4 linked regions of the Ovis aries genome follow. The protein of the gene in region 1 interacts with the protein of each later gene in a pairwise test. Links are inferred from orthologs where the notes say so. Each region holds a gene or a part of one and is shown in the gene's direction. Other genes may lie near its edges.

Region 1 (4,062 bases):
CTTGTAAAAAACAAATATAAGGTAAAAGAAGAAATGATGTTTGAACTAAATAATTTCCAGAGTTCATGTTCTCTAAAATTTTAAGGGGTGGGATTTTCCTGGTGGTTCAGGGGTTAGGTCTCGGTGCTTTCACTGCTGTGGTCCCATGTTCAGTTCCTGGTCAGGGAACTAATATCCCACAAGCTTCATGGTGCAGCCAAAAATAAAATAAAAAATAAAATTCTAGGGGAGACCAAAAGTAATTCTCAAGCTGTATCAGGTAGCGTTTTATTGCTCTTTTGACTGGGTTGATGAGCACAAATGTCTATATACCTTTATTTTTTTCAGTTAGGAAGTCCAACGTAAACTAGATTGCCATCAACATTCTTGATATAAAGGACTTTGATTTTGGTTAATCTTTTATCAGATAACATGTCAGTTTTACATATGACTATACAGCACTATCAACTAGAATTTCTGTCTAAAAGTCATTTCATGCATCTGTTCCCTGACCTATTCACAGTAAGTGCAGCTGTGGGGTGGTTCTCTATGTAGGATTCAGAAACACTGCCATTTTTGAAATAAACCAGATGTTTTCCGTTCCAAAGAAAAAGATCACACCTAGTGAAGCGTTTGTTTACAAGCTTCACAATAATACCAGAGAAAAGTTTCAAGGGACATGGATCACAGAAATCAGCTGAACACCACACTTTGCCAATTTCCTGCGAAGTTACAAAAGAAACACACCAAAGCAGACTCCGTGCTGGCTGTGAGGATTTGTAGATTAAGGCTGCAGTGACCAACAGATTACAGTGAGAGTTATTGTCTGAAGAGAGACTGCCACTTTATTTGGTTTCTGCCCATTTTCCCAAAACACGTCCTGGAATACACATCCGAAGGAGTGGTTTTTAAAACATGTCTTAAAATGAGTGTTTATGGAAACTTCAGGAACACTTTGGGAGTAGATTTCCTCCAAACAAAAACAAAACCAACACATTTTAAAAACCGAAAGTGAAAATAGGTATAACTTGTTAGTGACTAATCATTGGGGAACCGGGTTTGGTATTCGACCAGTGACTAGACTGAAGCAAAATCATCCTTGGGTAGTTTTCTTCTTCTGTTATTCTCTCTTTCTTTTTTTAAAAGGAAGTAAACTGTTGATCCGCGGGCCATCCATTTGAAAAAGGCTGAAGGCGCTTCCGGACGAGGGAGCCCCAGCCAGGCCCGGAGGGTTCCAGCGACTACCCGCGCCGCCAGCGAGGTTTCCGGGAACCTGGGCGCGGCGCTCGGCCGGCCGAGGCGCGTGAGTGGGCGACCCCTTCCCGCGCTGCCATTCCTGCTCCTAGTGGGCCCGGCTGGAGAGGCTGTGAGTGGCGACCCTGTGGGCTCCGCGGGGCCGGGGACCTCCGGTGGGGTTGAGGGTTGGTGGGAACGCCTGGCGGAGAGTAGGGTGTCGTTGGCTCTGCGACCCCATTCCCTGCGCCGCCCTCCTGCGCTGCCCGCTGCCGAGGTCGTGGGGGCCACCTAGCTGCCGAGGGGGCGCGGCTGCCCCCTGCCCACGGGGCTTTCTGCCTGCAGCCCCGGCCTCTGACCCCGTCTCCTTTGCTTTGCTTCGTTTAGGAAATTGAAACTTAAAATGGTTTGTGTTTCCCCACTGTTTCTGTAGTGTCTCTGGAGAAAGTTCTTAGGAAAACAGATTCCTTAGGGAGATTTAGTCTCCTGGCAGGCGCAGGGTTTGGCTGTCGTGCCTGATTTTTCAGAACATACAGGGATTTTATTTAAAGAGACATCCAAAACAGAATGTGGTGTTTCCCTATCTATGCGACACGCAAAAGTTAAAAAACAACAGGAAGCAATCCTGTCTGCGCATCTCCACCTCCTTTTCCCCTTCCTTTGCCTCATTTCCTTTGTTTTTGCTGCCTGGCATGCCTATGGGAAGATTTGCCTTAGGGAAGTAGGTGGTGAACAGGTGGAGGTGATTTGTACGGTTTTTTTTTTTTTTTTTTCATTTGCTGCCATAATAAATTACCATGGACTCAGTAAAACCTTAAAAGCTACAAATTTATCTTAAAATTATGTATGGGGGATTTCCCTGGCCGTCCAGTGGTTAGACTTTGTGTTTCCATTGCAGAGGTCATGGGTTTGATCCCTGGTCGAGGAACTAAGGTCCTCCATGCCCTGCAACCTGTCCAGATTACCACACACACACACACACACAAAATTCAGTATAAGTCTGGGTGGCCTTCACTAAGTTAAAATCAAGGTGTTAGCTGCTCTGCCTGCCTTTCTGGAGGTTAATGATGTGAACCTGTTTTCTCGTCTTTTATGCTTCTATCGATTGCTCATCTCCTTTGGCTCAGGAGTGGTGCCATATCTCCATCCTCAAAACCAGCAGCATTGCATCTCTCTGACTATTCTTCCCTTGTCACATCTCACTCTGATTCTGCCCTTCTCCCTTCCTCTTTCACTTTGAAGAAGGACCCTGATGATTACATTGTTCCCCACCAATAATCCAGGAAGAGCTTTATATTTTAAAGTCAGCTGTAAATTAGCAACCTTAATTCAGTCTATAACCTTAGTTCTCCTTTGCAGCATAACCCAACATTTTCACAGATTATGGGGGTTAGGATGTGGACCTCTTTAAAAGGGCCATTATTTTGCCTACCTTTTGAGTGCATAAAAGGAAAGCTATTACTATACATCCCGTTCATCAAGGAGGGAAAGTATCCAGATACTAGATATGCTGTAACAAGTTCTGGGAATATTAAGTAGTAGACCATTTATATGAGTTAAATGTATTATTGAGAGCTTTTATTACAAGCATTAAGAATAGACTTAAAAAAGCAGTTAAAGAATGTTGCAGTTTCTGCTTTCTGGAAATGTAATGAGAACATTTCATAGAACACTGCATGCCCCAGGTGTCCGGGGCTGAGCAAATACCTGAGTCAAGATACCAGGCAGTCCTATAAACATTAAGTGTTTTCAGTATGTGAACTCGTGCTCTGAATGGATACAGGGAAGAGGGAATGTAGGCCCTGGCCTCAAGGTCATGACCATCTTGTCATGGAAAATGACAAAAGTAGCCTAGTAGGCTGCCATCTATGGGGTCGCACAGAGTCGGACATGACTGAAGCGACCTAGCAGCAGCAGCAGCAGCAGACAAATAAAGCTCCCCAAAAGAGGTAATGGGGAAGAGGTAACATCATTTGGGGGAATCATAAAAGACTTCAAGAACTTGGGGGTGGAATTTGGGATGGACATTGAAGAACAGTAGGATTTCATTAAGTGGAAATTAAGGTTGGCAGGGGAGGGAGGATGTGACATTGAGGAACATGAGGGAGAAGAGAAACCCTTAGGTTGTTCAGTGTGGTTAAGGAACTTGGTCCAGGAGTTGTCTAAATAAGACACAGTTCAGTTCAGTTCAGTCACTCCGTAGGGTCCAACTCTTTGCGACCCCATGAATCGCAGCATGCCAGGCCTCCCTGTCCATCACCAACTCCCGGAGTTCACTCAAACTCATGCCCATCAAGTTGGTGATGCCATCCAGCCATCTCCTCCTCTGTCGTCCCCTTCTCCTCCTGCCCCCAATCCCTCCCAGCATCAGAGTCTTTTCCAACGAGTCAACTCTTCGCATGAGGTAGCCAACTAAGACTAGTTGGGGTTAAATTATGTAAGATATGGGATGAATAGCATTGTAAAGACTGCCGTTGTTGATGCAATAAGAACTACTAATATGTATCTTTAAAAATTTTCTTGAACCCTTTCAAACTTACAGAAAAGTTACAAGTAACAACTTTTCTTTTTCCTGAGTTATTTGAGTGCAGGTATCATGACCCATTAACCTGGAAGTCTTGAGTATTTATTTCCTGTAAAAAAAAAAAAAGGTATTCTTTACATAACTACAATACAGTGATCAAGATCAGAAAATTAATATAGGTACATTAATGCCATCTAATCCTTTGATGTAATTTGAATTTTGCCGGTTGTCCCTATTATATAGTGTATAACAAACAGAGCCAAGAATGATGCATGGTGTTTAGTTACGATGTATCTTTAGCCTCAGGTCTGGGACAGTTTCTCAGT
Region 2 (4,156 bases), on another chromosome or scaffold:
TGCAGCCCAGATTTCTCTCTGAGGCTTAGACCCATGTGTCCCCACCCCTGCCCCTTCTCTCCTTTCAGGGTCTTTTTCATGCCACTCACTCTCCTTAGAATGCTTTCTCTTCCTCAGCCAGCTCAGCTCATGGGTTTGGCCCTTCATCCTCTGCAAGCCCTCACTGCTGCAGCAAGCTCCAGGTTTCATTTAGCTGCCTCTCCCATATGCTCTTGGTCTTAACTCTTCTGCTTCCTGGCCTCTCTCTCCCAGGAACTTGTCAACTCCTTGAGATCAGAAAACTGTCTGCCGCACTTGAGCCAAGCTCCTACCATAGTGTCTGATGGTACCTAGCATATGTTAGATTTTTCAATAAAGATTAAATCAGTGAGTAAAAAGATGTTTAACACTGTTCTTTGTTGCTGAGAAGTCAAGATAGAGACCAAAAAATATTGGCATCGGGTACAAGGAGGTCATCTATTAACTCTACAGGATCAGTTTCAGCTGAGAGCAATGATATGGAAACAGATTGGAACAAGTGGAAGGTGAAAGAGTAGGAAGAGCATGTGTTTACAAGACCTTGCAAAGATGGGAAATGGGGGCCGTGATTGAGTGGAGTGGGATGAAGTTTTGTGTTTCTGCTTTTTCTGCATGTTGGGAAATACCTAAACATGTCTAAAGTTTCCTAAGAGCTGCCAAGAGGGAAAATTGAGCATGCAGAAGAGAGAGTGGAGTACTGATGACTTGGGGTCTTAGAGGAGGCAGAAGGAGGTAGGATTTGAGCATAGCGAGAGGACCCGAGCATTGTAGGGTGGGAAGAGAAGTGGAGGGCTTTATAGGCAGAAGAACAGCACAGTGGGCAGCAGGGGCTGGGGAGGAAGTGCGTGGTGTATTTGAGAACTGGCCATTAGATGTGGGGTGAAGGAGCTGGACAGCGGTTCAAGTCCAGTGTGCAGGGCCTCGAAAGCCTGGGTCAGAATTTTGGCCCAGTCCCGTAGGCAGTGGAGAGCCCATCTTGGCCTTTCCCATCTTACAGATCATCACCTTGGCCAATATTACGGGGATTGTGATCACCAACAATGTCCAAGGGGATGGGCATTTCTGTGGCTCCTAGATTTCTGGGAGATGTGTAGATGGTTCCATTTGTACCTGCCCCACCCTGCATGTCCCTAGGGCCCAGCGAGTCCAGTCCATTCCCTCCCCTGCTTGTCCCCATCCACAGCGAGGCTTGATTTGACTCCCCAAGTGACCACTTTGCCACTCGGAGCTGGGGACAGGGGCGAGTGATGGCTCCACTGCTCCTCCCAGCGCCCAGATGCCCGTCCAGCCTCCAAGCAAGGACACAGAGGAGATGGAAGCAGAGGGCGACTCAGCTGCCGAGATGAATGGGGAGGAGGAGGAGAGCGAGGAGGAACGGAGCGGCAGCCAGACCGAGTCCGAGGAGGAGAGCTCAGGTGAGCCCCACACGCCCTCGAGCGCCCTGCCTGCCCCCGCAGCCGGCCCTGACTGGCCTCTTGTCCCAGAGATGGACGAGGAGGACTACGAGCGGCGCCGCAGCGAGTGCGTCAGTGAGATGATGGACCTGGAGAAGCAGTTCTCGGAGCTGAAGGAGAAGTGAGCGAGGGGCCCGGGGCTCGGGGCCCGGCTTCCAGGAGGCAGCGGAGGGCCTGGCGCCAGCCAGGGCCGGTGTGAGCAAGGGCCTGACCCGGGGCGCTGGGCACGTGTTTAGCAGATGGGCACACGGGCGCACGGCTGCCTTTCGCCTCCCAGGTTGTTCAGGGAACGACTGAGTCAGCTGCGGGTGCGGCTGGAGGAAGTGGGAGCTGAAAGGGCACCCGAATACACGGAGCCCCTGGGGGGGCTGCAGCGGAGCCTCAAGATTCGCATTCAGGTGGCAGGTCTGTGGCCCGTCCTGTGCCCCGTCCCCTTATGAGAACCCACGGCTCTCTGTCCCCTTCCCCTCTCACCCGTGCCCTGCCTCACCCGCCTTTGTGGGCAGCCAGGGCCCTGGCCAGGCCCGGCCGCCCATCGCCCTCCCTCCGCAGGGATTTACAAGGGCTTCTGTCTGGACGTGATCAGGAACAAGTATGAGTGTGAGCTGCAGGGAGCCAAGCAGCACCTGGAGGTGAATGTGGGTGCGCCGGGTGGGGAGGAGGTGGCCGCCCCGCCCCACCCCGCCCCGCCCAGCTGAGCCGCTGCGCCTCTTGCAGAGTGAGAAGCTGCTGCTGTACGACACGCTGCAGGGCGAGCTGCAGGAGCGGATCCAGAGGCTGGAGGAGGACCGCCAGAGCCTGGACATCAACTCTGGTGAGGCCAGCGGCCAGCCGGCACCCCTGTGCTTCCAGCGCCCGTTCCCTGTCTGGGCCTTGCCTTCCCCGCTTGCATGGGGGTGGGTGTAGGAGGGCCTGCTCCGTGCTCACCGTGGGGACTGACGGAAAGCAGGCGGGGAAGGGCCCAGCCCGGTGCCTGGTGCACAGTGGCAGCTTGGGGGTGCCCTCCCTCCGTGCTGGTCCCAGAATGGAGGCATCATTCTGACACACGTGCCCCTGCCATGGCCACAGTGTGCCCATTCACACAGGGCACTGGGGAGGGAGGGACTAATGATCTCACACCCCCATCCATGAAACAGATGAGGAGACTGAGGTTAGCAGAAGCACAGTGACCTCTTTCCCAGGATTGAACTCAGCTTCCAAGCCCAGGCTTCTCTGCACTGCCCTGGGGAGGTTGATGGGGATGGGCTGGCCTGGCCCACGTGAGGGACACAGGCTTCAGGGGTGGGGCGTCCTGGGAGGACGGCACCCTGATGCTGACTCTGGTCTGGGGCGCAGAGTGGTGGGATGACAAACTGCATGCCAGAGGCAGCTCGAAGACATGGGACTCCCTGCCACCCAACAAGAGGAAGAAGGCGCCTCTCGTTTCCGGTATCCTTCCCCATACAGTGGCCTGAACTGGGCAGGAGGTCAGGGTGGAGGCACATGGGGGACAGAGGCAGACCAGACTCACTTAAGGTCATCTGGCCTCCTGTGGCCGTGTCCAGGCAGATCAGCTGTTGAATTTTCTGCAGGGTCCTCCTGGCCTGTGTGGACCATGGAAAAATAGAAGCATTCATCCAGAGATTTCCCCATAGTTTTCTGAGTGAGGTCTCCTCTGAGGCCCTTCTGGCTTTCTCACAGTGTCTTGGGCATGTCCCAGGCTCTCCCACCCCCATGCCTTTGCTGACTTTACACTCCCCTCTTGGATGCCTTTACCTGTCTGCCTGCTCGGTGCCCATCAATTGTCACCTCCTCTGTGAAGCCTCTCCTGGTTTCCCCGACAATGGCTGTGGCTTCCCTCTCCTCTGCACCCCTTTACCTGAACGGGGGCACCTGCCTCCCTTCTGGACATAGTCACCTCTGCCGCCCCCCAGGTGTGAGCCCCTCTTGTTCAGGGCCTGCTGTGCCGGCCTCCCCCCCTCGCATAGCCCAGCACGGAGTTGAATTGAATTCTCAGGTATACACACCCCTCCATATTTCTGCCGCAGTCAGATTATCAGGAAGTTGACCTCCTGGTGATGGGGATCATGTTCAAGCAGGGAGGGAAGGATCTGGACTGCAGAGGCTTGAGCGGGGGTGGGAGGTGAGGGTGTGGAGACGTCAGCGGGCAGAGTGGCCAGTCCCCAGACGGGCGGGTGAGACCGATGGAGGGTGGTTTTCAGGACAGAAGAGATAGATGACAGTCTGCGTGTAGGTGGGGCCAGTTGAGGGAACAGGGGGCGAGATCCCTGAGTGGGTGGCCTGGGCCTGGGCCTTCTGACCTTGAGGCCTGAGAGGAGGTGAGGAGGGAGCCAAGGGGCTGAACGCCCTCTGTGGACTGGGTGAAACTGAAATAGGCCGCAGCCACGCACTCCACCCTGCTAAGAACCCAGGAGCCACGAGGTCGGAGGTGGAGCCTGAGTGCTGCCCCAGGTGCTCGGCTCCCCAACCCGCCATCCACGGCACCGCCGCCTCTGAGTGCTGGCACCTCCCACCCCCTGGGCTGGGGGCCCGGTCCCATCCCCTGCCCCCTCCCCACGTCTCCTGTTTCCTTGACCCCCATCTCAGGCCCTTACATCGTGTACATGCTGCAGGAGATCGACATCCTGGAGGACTGGACAGCCATCAAAAAGGTGGGTCTAGCGCTGCCTGCCACAGGGTGGGGG
Region 3 (3,562 bases), on another chromosome or scaffold:
ATTGCTGTAATTCATATATGGCTATCTTAGTTTTCCTTTCAAGCTTTTGGAGGACATTTATTTTTAATAAGAAAAAATATATATTGTAATCATTTATAGGAAACTTGAGGAACACAATTACATGATCAATATGCCATCATTTTTACACAGGAACATAAGATCTGCTGTTCCTCTTTCTGTACCAAACTAAGGGAACACGTGATCTATCCCATCAATCAGTAAGACTGAGTATCCTTTTTTCTAGGCCACAACCAAGAGATAGAACCTTCAGGCTGAATGTCTGTTAGGAAACACTGCAGTTTATTTACTCAGCACGGGACCCGTTGTCTTTAAAACAAGTCTATTTATCACCAGCTATCAAATTCAAGGCCCCTGCTGCACCTGCTCTGAGTGACCATGTATTCACAGTTGAAACCTCAGCTCAAACATTTATGTTGGGGCTGAGCAATGTTACCTCTAGAGAACTGAGGAAATATATCCTACTTACCCTGCACACTATTCTCCCTTCATCAACCAAACTCTGAGGTCTGTAAACCTAGGGGCTTATAAACCAGCATAACAAGAGCGTGCATTCTCTCTACAGGAGGAAACCCTTCAGCGGGCACGTGAGGAAGAAGAGAAAAGGAAGGAGATCACAAGTCATTTCCAGAACACCCTGACGGATATCCAGGCCCAGATTGAGCAGCAGAGTGAGCGAAACATGAAACTCTGTCAGGAGAACACAGAGCTTGCAGAGAAACTAAAAAGCATCATTGATCAGTATGAGCTCAGAGAGGAGGTGAGAACCACATCAGACAACTTACAAACACTCCATATAGGTCTGGGTCTGGTTTGTGAAGGTTGGGAGGTCAGTTAATAACAAAGTTATGACCAGCCTTCTCAACTGATTAATATTTAGGTTTGGACTTCTTTTACTAGCCAAAATAAAAACATATGATGTTACAAAATACCTGGCTGAAAGTCATAGAGGATTTCTTCAAAACTAGAATCACTGCGAAGCAGAGGCAATAAACAAGGGGTAGGACATGAATGGATTTATCCTTGAAAATAAAAAATATTATTTCTCAGCCTTTTTAAACTCTCTCTACAGAACCAAGAAATACTTCATGCATGCCCTCTTAAGAATTACCATGTCATCAAAATTAAAAGTCTGCATTGTATATACCCCACAAATAATAATATATATACTATTATTATATAGTATATATATAATAATTATAGTAATAATGGTATTGTTATTTTTACTTAGTTTGTACCAAGCAATATGCTAAGTATTATACTTTACATACAGTATGTCATTTAACTGTCTCAACAATTTTATGTACTAGATAATAATGTATTATCCACATTTTATAGATGGGAAGCAGAAGCTACAAGATTAAATCACATATCTACAATCACAAAAGCCAAAAAAGTTTGTTATCAATAGTTTACATTGGGGGACTATAAAGATCTTTCATTATTCCAAGATTATATTTTAATATTTAATATGTTTTGAAGATTCCAGATGCCCCCCTCTGGATTTTGATATGTCATATCCCTTTTTCCATCTCACTTAAAATTTTAAATCTCTGCCTTAAAATGTAATATAACATAGTCAAAGGAGCTCTGCTGGCAACATGCTAAGCTTTAATCAAGGAAAAAAAAAAAAAAACTGATAGCAGTTCGGTAAATCAAGAAACTTCTCGCAGTAGGCCATAATTCCATGCTACCATTTTATCTTGTTATAAAGATTAATCCTGCTCCAAAGTGGAGGTTCAAGAAAAAACAAAAGAGAAGGAGCTAAAAAGAGAGAAAAAAAAAAAGGTGCCCATACTCTGCAGAGAGATCATGTATGGGAATGACCTGGTAGACCAGTTGTATATTCCTAGGTTGGTTCTAGGTAAGGCCCAAATTCTACATGTCCTCTTGCCGATGGGACCCCTAATAACCAAGAAATTCTCCACACTGAGGTGGAGTTGGAAGCTTCATTTGACCAAGGTAGTCAACAGGTCAAAAAGCGTGGAGGAGGAAGTAGCATATTTGCATATCAATTCATCTGCAAACCTGAGCCTTGCTTGCCCACTAGAGCAACAGAGTTGATATCAGGGGGCTACTGCCTCAGTCCCAGACAAAGGGCCACAGGCTGTTACCTCAAGGCTTCCCCACACCCTTGAGGCAAGCATGTAGAGAATTCACCACGATAAACTGAATTAATATTGTGGTTAAATGGGATTTTATATTCACAGAAAGAGCCAAAATACCAAGTGATAGTGCTATAGCCCTTGTGATACACATCACTGTCTTTGGAGCCTAGGGTAAACTAGTGCCATATCTAATAGTTGTCATATTTAGAAAAATATTGTTGGGACCTTTTGGTGTTGCATTGCTGAACTCTGGCACCTCCACCTTTTGTAGCCACTTTCATGTAGTGCAAACTGCAGGAGACTCCACCAATTTATGACTTTCGTATAAAACCATAAGTGACACCAATGCCTTTATTCCTCCTCTTTTTAACTCTTAAAACCTAGAGAACACATGTTTATATCAATATTACTTTTTTATACATATGTTTTTCAGCATAATAACTCAACTTGATACGTGCACTTTACTTTTCCTCAGCACCTCGACAAAATATTCAAACACAGAGAACTGCAGCAGAAGCTAGTGGATGCGAAACTTGAGCAGGCACAAGAAATGATGAAGGAAGCAGAGGAGCGACACAAACGCGAGAAGGAATATGTATTTATCATATGCATCTATGTGCTTGTCTGGTCTGTCTTGGGGTCAGAGAACCCCTGAGAATGTTTTTGGTAACGGTCATAGAGTACTAGACTGATGGAGGAAGAGCCTAAGCTTCCCTGGAGAATGACACTGGCCAGCCCAGGAGGAAACACTGTACCTATCACTGTAACACTGTATCATGCATCCATTCACCAAACCTTTGGCAAGCACATTTCATGAGCTATGCCCCATTCTAGGTACTGGCATGTAGTGGTGAACAAGATGGAGAAGTCCACATCCCAGCAAGGAAACTGGAGTCTAACTTGGAAGAAAAAGGCAATAAATAAGCAAGCAAGCAAAGAAGGATAATTTCAGATAAGTGCTACTAGGGAAATAAGGAAGAACCTCAAAGGGGCAGAAGGAGGCCTCCTTTAGACTGGGTGACTTGGTGGGCCTCCTGGAGCAGAGGATGCTTGAGCTGCTCCCTTCCTGATGATCAGGGAGTCAGAGAGGAGGTCCCCAGCAGCAGTGTCTGTAGCAGAAACAAAGGTCCTAATGCTGGAACCAGCTTGACATCCTCCAGAAATAGGAGAAAGTCAGGGTAGCAAGAGTAGGTGCCCCAATGAGAGAAAATTTCAAAATGAAACTGTAGAGGTAAGCAAGGGGCAAACTGTATTGCTTTGTAAGCTTGAAATATAGTTTGAATTTTATTCTAAATATAATGGGAAAGTACTGGGTAGTTTCAGCAAAGGAAGTGACAGGGTCTGCTTTGCATCTGTAAAAGGTGACTTTGGCTGATAGGTGGAAAGTGAACTACAGAGGGGCAAAAGAGCTAGGCAGCAATCTGGGCAAGATCTGA
Region 4 (4,333 bases), about 53 Mb from region 1:
AGGAAGGTTCCCTTTGCTCCAGGCTGTGTCTAGCATTTTCTCCTTGGAGGCTTGTTCACGATGACCCTTCTGACTGCTGTCAGGGGCAACCTCACTGGAGTTTTGATTTGCTATTCTGTAATCATTAGGGATGAAGAACTTGTCTTCCTGTGCTTTGGCTGAAAAGAGTATGAGTAAGTGTAAGTTTACTACACAAAGACCATGTCATCCAGTCCAATCACTTCATGGCAAATAGATGGGGAGACAATACAAACAGTGACAGATTTTCTTTTGGGGGGCTCCAAAATCGCTGCAGATGGTGACTGCAACCATGAAATTAAAAGATGCTTGCTCCTTGAAAGAAAAGCTATGACCAGCCTAGACAGCATATTAAAAAGCAGAGATGTTACTTTGCCAACAAAGGTCTGTCTAGTCAAGGCTGTGGTTTTCCCTGTGGTCATGCATGGATGTGAGAGTTGGACTGTGAAGAAAGCTGAGCGCCGAAGAATTGATGCTTTTGAACTGTGGTGTTGGAGAAGACTCTTGACAGTCCCTTGGACTGCAAGGGGTTTCAACCAGTCCATCCTAAAGGAAATCAGTCCTGAATATTCATTGGAAGGACTGATGTTGAAACTGAAACTCCAACACTTTGGCCACCTGATGAACTGAGTCATTTGAAAAGACCCTGATGCTGGGAAAGATTGAAGGCAGGAGGAGAAGGGGACGACAGAGGATGAAATGGTTGGATGGCATCACCGACTCAATGCACATGAGTTTGAGTAAGCTCCATGAGGTGATGATGGACAGGGAAGCCTGGCGTGCTGCAGTCCATGGGGTCACAAAGGGTCAGACACGACTGAGTGACTGAACTGAACTGAAAGTGTAGGTTGGAAACTGGCTTCCTGAATGTGAGCCCCATAGTATTTCTTTATCCTTGACCTCAGTTCAGTTCAGTCGCGAATGAGCTACTGAACTGAATTGAGGATTGATTACTCCCTTTTCTGAGGATTGCGTATATTTCTATCTAGGTTTTCTAGCGTTTGTATGCTTCTCCTCTTTCTTGTTCAAGGTCACAGCACGTTTACACTCGCCCTCTGTGATTGTGCGTGTCCAGCCGGCTCCTCCCTTCCATCTGGTCCCTTCTTTGTGGTCACAGTCACCGCCTCGATCCCAAATGTTATCTCTTCACGGCGAAAGGATGAAAATCGCCAAAATTTACGGCAATCCCACTCGCTGAATAGGGATAACTGCTCAAGTGCAGGCAGGCAGGTCAGGGACCTCCTCTCGTCGTTCCCTTTTTCTCCTGCATTTTCTCTTATGGAATATTTGTAAGAGCAGCGGGCGCAGCAGAGGGCATGCAGGCAGAGCTTTTTCTGCTAGGAACACAAATATTCGACTCCTGCTGTGCTTCCGGAGACATTCTCTTCGCACCTAGGTGGGGACCAATTTCTGCGTCGGACTGTTCCGTCTTTGCTGTTTTCAGCCCGTCGCTTCCGCCCGGAGTTGCTTTAAGTTCCCGCTGTGAGTAGCTACTTCCGCCAGGAGTGCTTAGCGTCTTGGACTTGGAAAGTGGCCCTGGGCGGCCTTGTCCTTCTCTCAGCCTGGCTACCCGAAGCCAGATCTCAAGGTGGAGGCGGCAGCGGCTGGGCCTGTCGCAGAGCGTTCTTTTTGCCCAAGTCCTGGGCCTGAGGTTACTTAGAGGTGCTGGAGAGGCGCCCAGCCTGGCCCAGCCCGGGCCTTCCCCGGGCCAGTGACGGTGGCCAGAGGCCTCGCCGCGCCCACCCCAGCCTGGGGCGGGGCGCGGCCTCCGAGCCCGGGTCCCGCCCCTGCTGCCTGCTGGGCGCGGGATCAGTGCCTCCGGCCCAGGAGCGGTGGAACCGTTTTGCGCCTCTGGGACTCCGCAGTCCCCTGGCTCCGGCCGCTGGAGAACATGGAATTTGCTGAGCTGATCAAGACCCCTCGGGTGGACAATGTGGTGCTGCACCGCCCTTTCTATCCGCCCGTCGAGGGGACCTTGTGTCTGACTGGCCACCACCTGATCCTCTCCTCCCGGCAGGACAACACAGAGGAGCTGTGGCTTCTCCATTCAAACATCGACGCCATCGACAAGCGGTGAGTGCTGGTCCCGTCCATCCCCTGTTCTGCGCGCAACTCAGATGCTTGTCTGCGGAAACCCGTCCTAGCGTTTTCCTTGTGTCCCCTCGCCCAACCAGTCAGCAGAACGACCCTCGCTCTGGCCTAGACTGAGGGTTTGAGTTTTAGAAAGCTGAAACCATCCAGTTGAGATACCGGGTTTCCATTCATTCTGATTGGGTTACCGTATGGCTGTTACTGTGATTATCATTTTTGGTACATAACACTATTTGAATGGATTTGCAACGTTTTCATTTTAAATTTCTTTTCCTTGCACCATCATATTCCTTGAATGTTAACTGCCCATCATAGTTCATGAAGTTGTGAGTGAATGTGATTACAAAGTCTTTACTTGCAACTTTTGAGGAAAACTGAAAGGACTCAGTATATAGTGTCTAAATTCCACAAACCCTTCTCCCCTCTCGGAAATGTTCAGTTCATCATATTTCTCCTTGTTTCTTACCTTCTGGATCATCAACTTAAGACTTCCCATTTTGGAAGATTCAGTTCAGTTCAGTCGCTCAGTCGTGTCCGACTCTTTGCGACCCCATGAATCACAGCATGCCAGGCCTCCCTGTCCATCACCAACTCCCGGAGTTCACTCAAACTCATGGCCATTGAGTCGGTGATGCCATCCAGCCATCTCATCCTCTGTCATCCCCTTCTCCTCCTGCCCCCAGTCCCTCCCAGCATCAGGGTATTTTCCAATGAGTCAACTTTTCACATGAGGTGGCCAAAGTATTGGAGTTTCAGCTTCAACATCAGGCCTTCCAATGAACACCCAGGACTGATCTCCTTTAGGATAGACTCATTGGATCTCCTTGCAGTCCAAGGGACTCTCAGGAGCCTTCTCCAACACCACAGTTCAAGAGCATCAATTCTTCGGCGCTCAGCTTTCTTCACAGTCCAACTCTCACATCCAACATTTCCTGATGAACAACATTTCACAGGAAAAACCATAGCCTTGACTAGACAGACCTTTGTTGGCAAAGCAATGTCTCTGCTTTTTAATATGCTGCCTAGGTTGGTCATAACTTTACTTCCAGGGAGTAAGCGTCTTTTGGAAGATTAGAATGTGTTTTATTTTCTTTACTATCTGTGCTTTTGCAAAGAACAGAATAGGCTCTTAAACAAAGGTATTCATTAATTGACTTTTGTTTGTTTGTTTTTTTTTTTTGCACCCCAGGCTCTCTTTCCAGGGTAGTGTCTCAGGAGGCTAAAAGTTATAGTTCATCTGTAGTCAAAATTACCATTTCCGCAATGGTTTTGTGTACTTTAGCCAGAAGGTGATTTGGTCATCCAACTTAGACTAAAGTATAAATGAATGACAATAGTTTTTTTGGTTAGTTCTCAGAATTTTGGAGAAGGCAATGGCACCCCACTCCAGTTCTCTTGCCTAGAAAGTCTCATGGGCGGAGGAGCCTGGTGGGCTGCAGTCCATGGGGTTGCGAAGAGTCAGAAACGACTGAGCAACTTCACTTTATCACTTTTCACTTTCATGCATTGGAGAAGGCAATGGCAACCCACTCCAGTGTTCTTGCCTGGAGAATCCCAGGGATGGGGGAGCCTGGTGGGCTGCCATCTATGGGGTCGCACAGAGTCGGACACGACTGAAGCGACTTAGCAGCAGCAGCAGCAGCAGCAGAATTTGGAGGTGGAGGAGATTCCCAAAGTGGTTATGCCTTAAAAGAAAATTATTTCTGATAGGAAAAGTTAAACAATATGAGTAAAATGATGATAGATTTATTTTCAAGCAGCAGACTCCTGTTTGACTCCTGAGATCACCTCCTGTGTAAAAGTTTTCAGTGTTCCTTTTTCGCCTTTATGGCGGTGGTGGTTAGTCACTCAGTCAAGTCCGACTCTTACAACCCCGTGGACTGTAGCCCACCAGGCTCTTCTGTCCATGAGATTTCTCAGGCAAGAATACTGGAGTGGATTGCCGTTTCCTTCTCCTGGGATCTTGAAGACCCAGGGATGGAGCCCTCATCTCCTGCATGACAGGCAGGTTCTTTGTAGCCGAGCCCCCAGGGCAGACCCCTTAGTCTGTCGTGTATGGCAGTTCTCGTTCTAGCCCTAATCTACTTTTCCCTGTTCAGTTCTTGCCATTCTCTTTCCTGAACCCATTTGCCCAGTCAGTCAGTCCTCACTTTTCATTTTGGTTCATCCGTGTCCTGCATTCTCTCACGTCTGTATTTTACTGACGCTCTTCCTTCTGCCTCGA

What was found.
Region 2: the proteins of NMI (region 1) and BRMS1 interact in binary tests that used the Homo sapiens proteins (3 or more experiments, as listed by UniProt). The link is inferred for Ovis aries from reciprocal best matches to the Homo sapiens genes NMI and BRMS1.
Region 3: the proteins of NMI (region 1) and TXLNB interact in binary tests that used the Homo sapiens proteins (3 or more experiments, as listed by UniProt). The two-hybrid records come from large-scale screens. The link is inferred for Ovis aries from reciprocal best matches to the Homo sapiens genes NMI and TXLNB.
Region 4: the proteins of NMI (region 1) and MTMR9 interact in binary tests that used the Homo sapiens proteins (3 or more experiments, as listed by UniProt). The two-hybrid records come from large-scale screens. The link is inferred for Ovis aries from reciprocal best matches to the Homo sapiens genes NMI and MTMR9.

What each region holds. Positions count from the first base shown.
Region 1 is NC_056055.1:158,219,134-158,223,195, forward strand, and holds the start of NMI (N-myc-interactor), read left to right. Parts: upstream 1-1,246; 5' UTR 1,247-4,062. UniProt on the Homo sapiens protein: Acts as a signaling pathway regulator involved in innate immune system response.
Region 2 is NC_056074.1:40,819,800-40,823,955, reverse strand, and holds the start of BRMS1 (breast cancer metastasis-suppressor 1), read left to right. Parts: upstream 1-1,294; coding exon 1,295-1,433; intron 1,434-1,502; coding exon 1,503-1,593; intron 1,594-1,749; coding exon 1,750-1,877; intron 1,878-2,024; coding exon 2,025-2,104; intron 2,105-2,189; coding exon 2,190-2,286; intron 2,287-2,807; coding exon 2,808-2,900; intron 2,901-4,058; coding exon 4,059-4,123; intron 4,124-4,156. UniProt on the Homo sapiens protein: Transcriptional repressor. Down-regulates transcription activation by NF-kappa-B by promoting the deacetylation of RELA at 'Lys-310'. Promotes HDAC1 binding to promoter regions.
Region 3 is NC_056061.1:64,222,607-64,226,168, reverse strand, and holds part of TXLNB (beta-taxilin), read left to right. Parts: intron 1-583; coding exon 584-778; intron 779-2,601; coding exon 2,602-2,721; intron 2,722-3,562. UniProt on the Homo sapiens protein: Promotes motor nerve regeneration. May be involved in intracellular vesicle traffic.
Region 4 is NC_056055.1:105,116,144-105,120,476, forward strand, and holds the start of MTMR9 (myotubularin-related protein 9), read left to right. Parts: upstream 1-1,519; 5' UTR 1,520-1,909; coding exon 1,910-2,091; intron 2,092-4,333. UniProt on the Homo sapiens protein: Acts as an adapter for myotubularin-related phosphatases. Increases lipid phosphatase MTMR6 catalytic activity, specifically towards phosphatidylinositol 3,5-bisphosphate and MTMR6 binding affinity for phosphorylated phosphatidylinositols.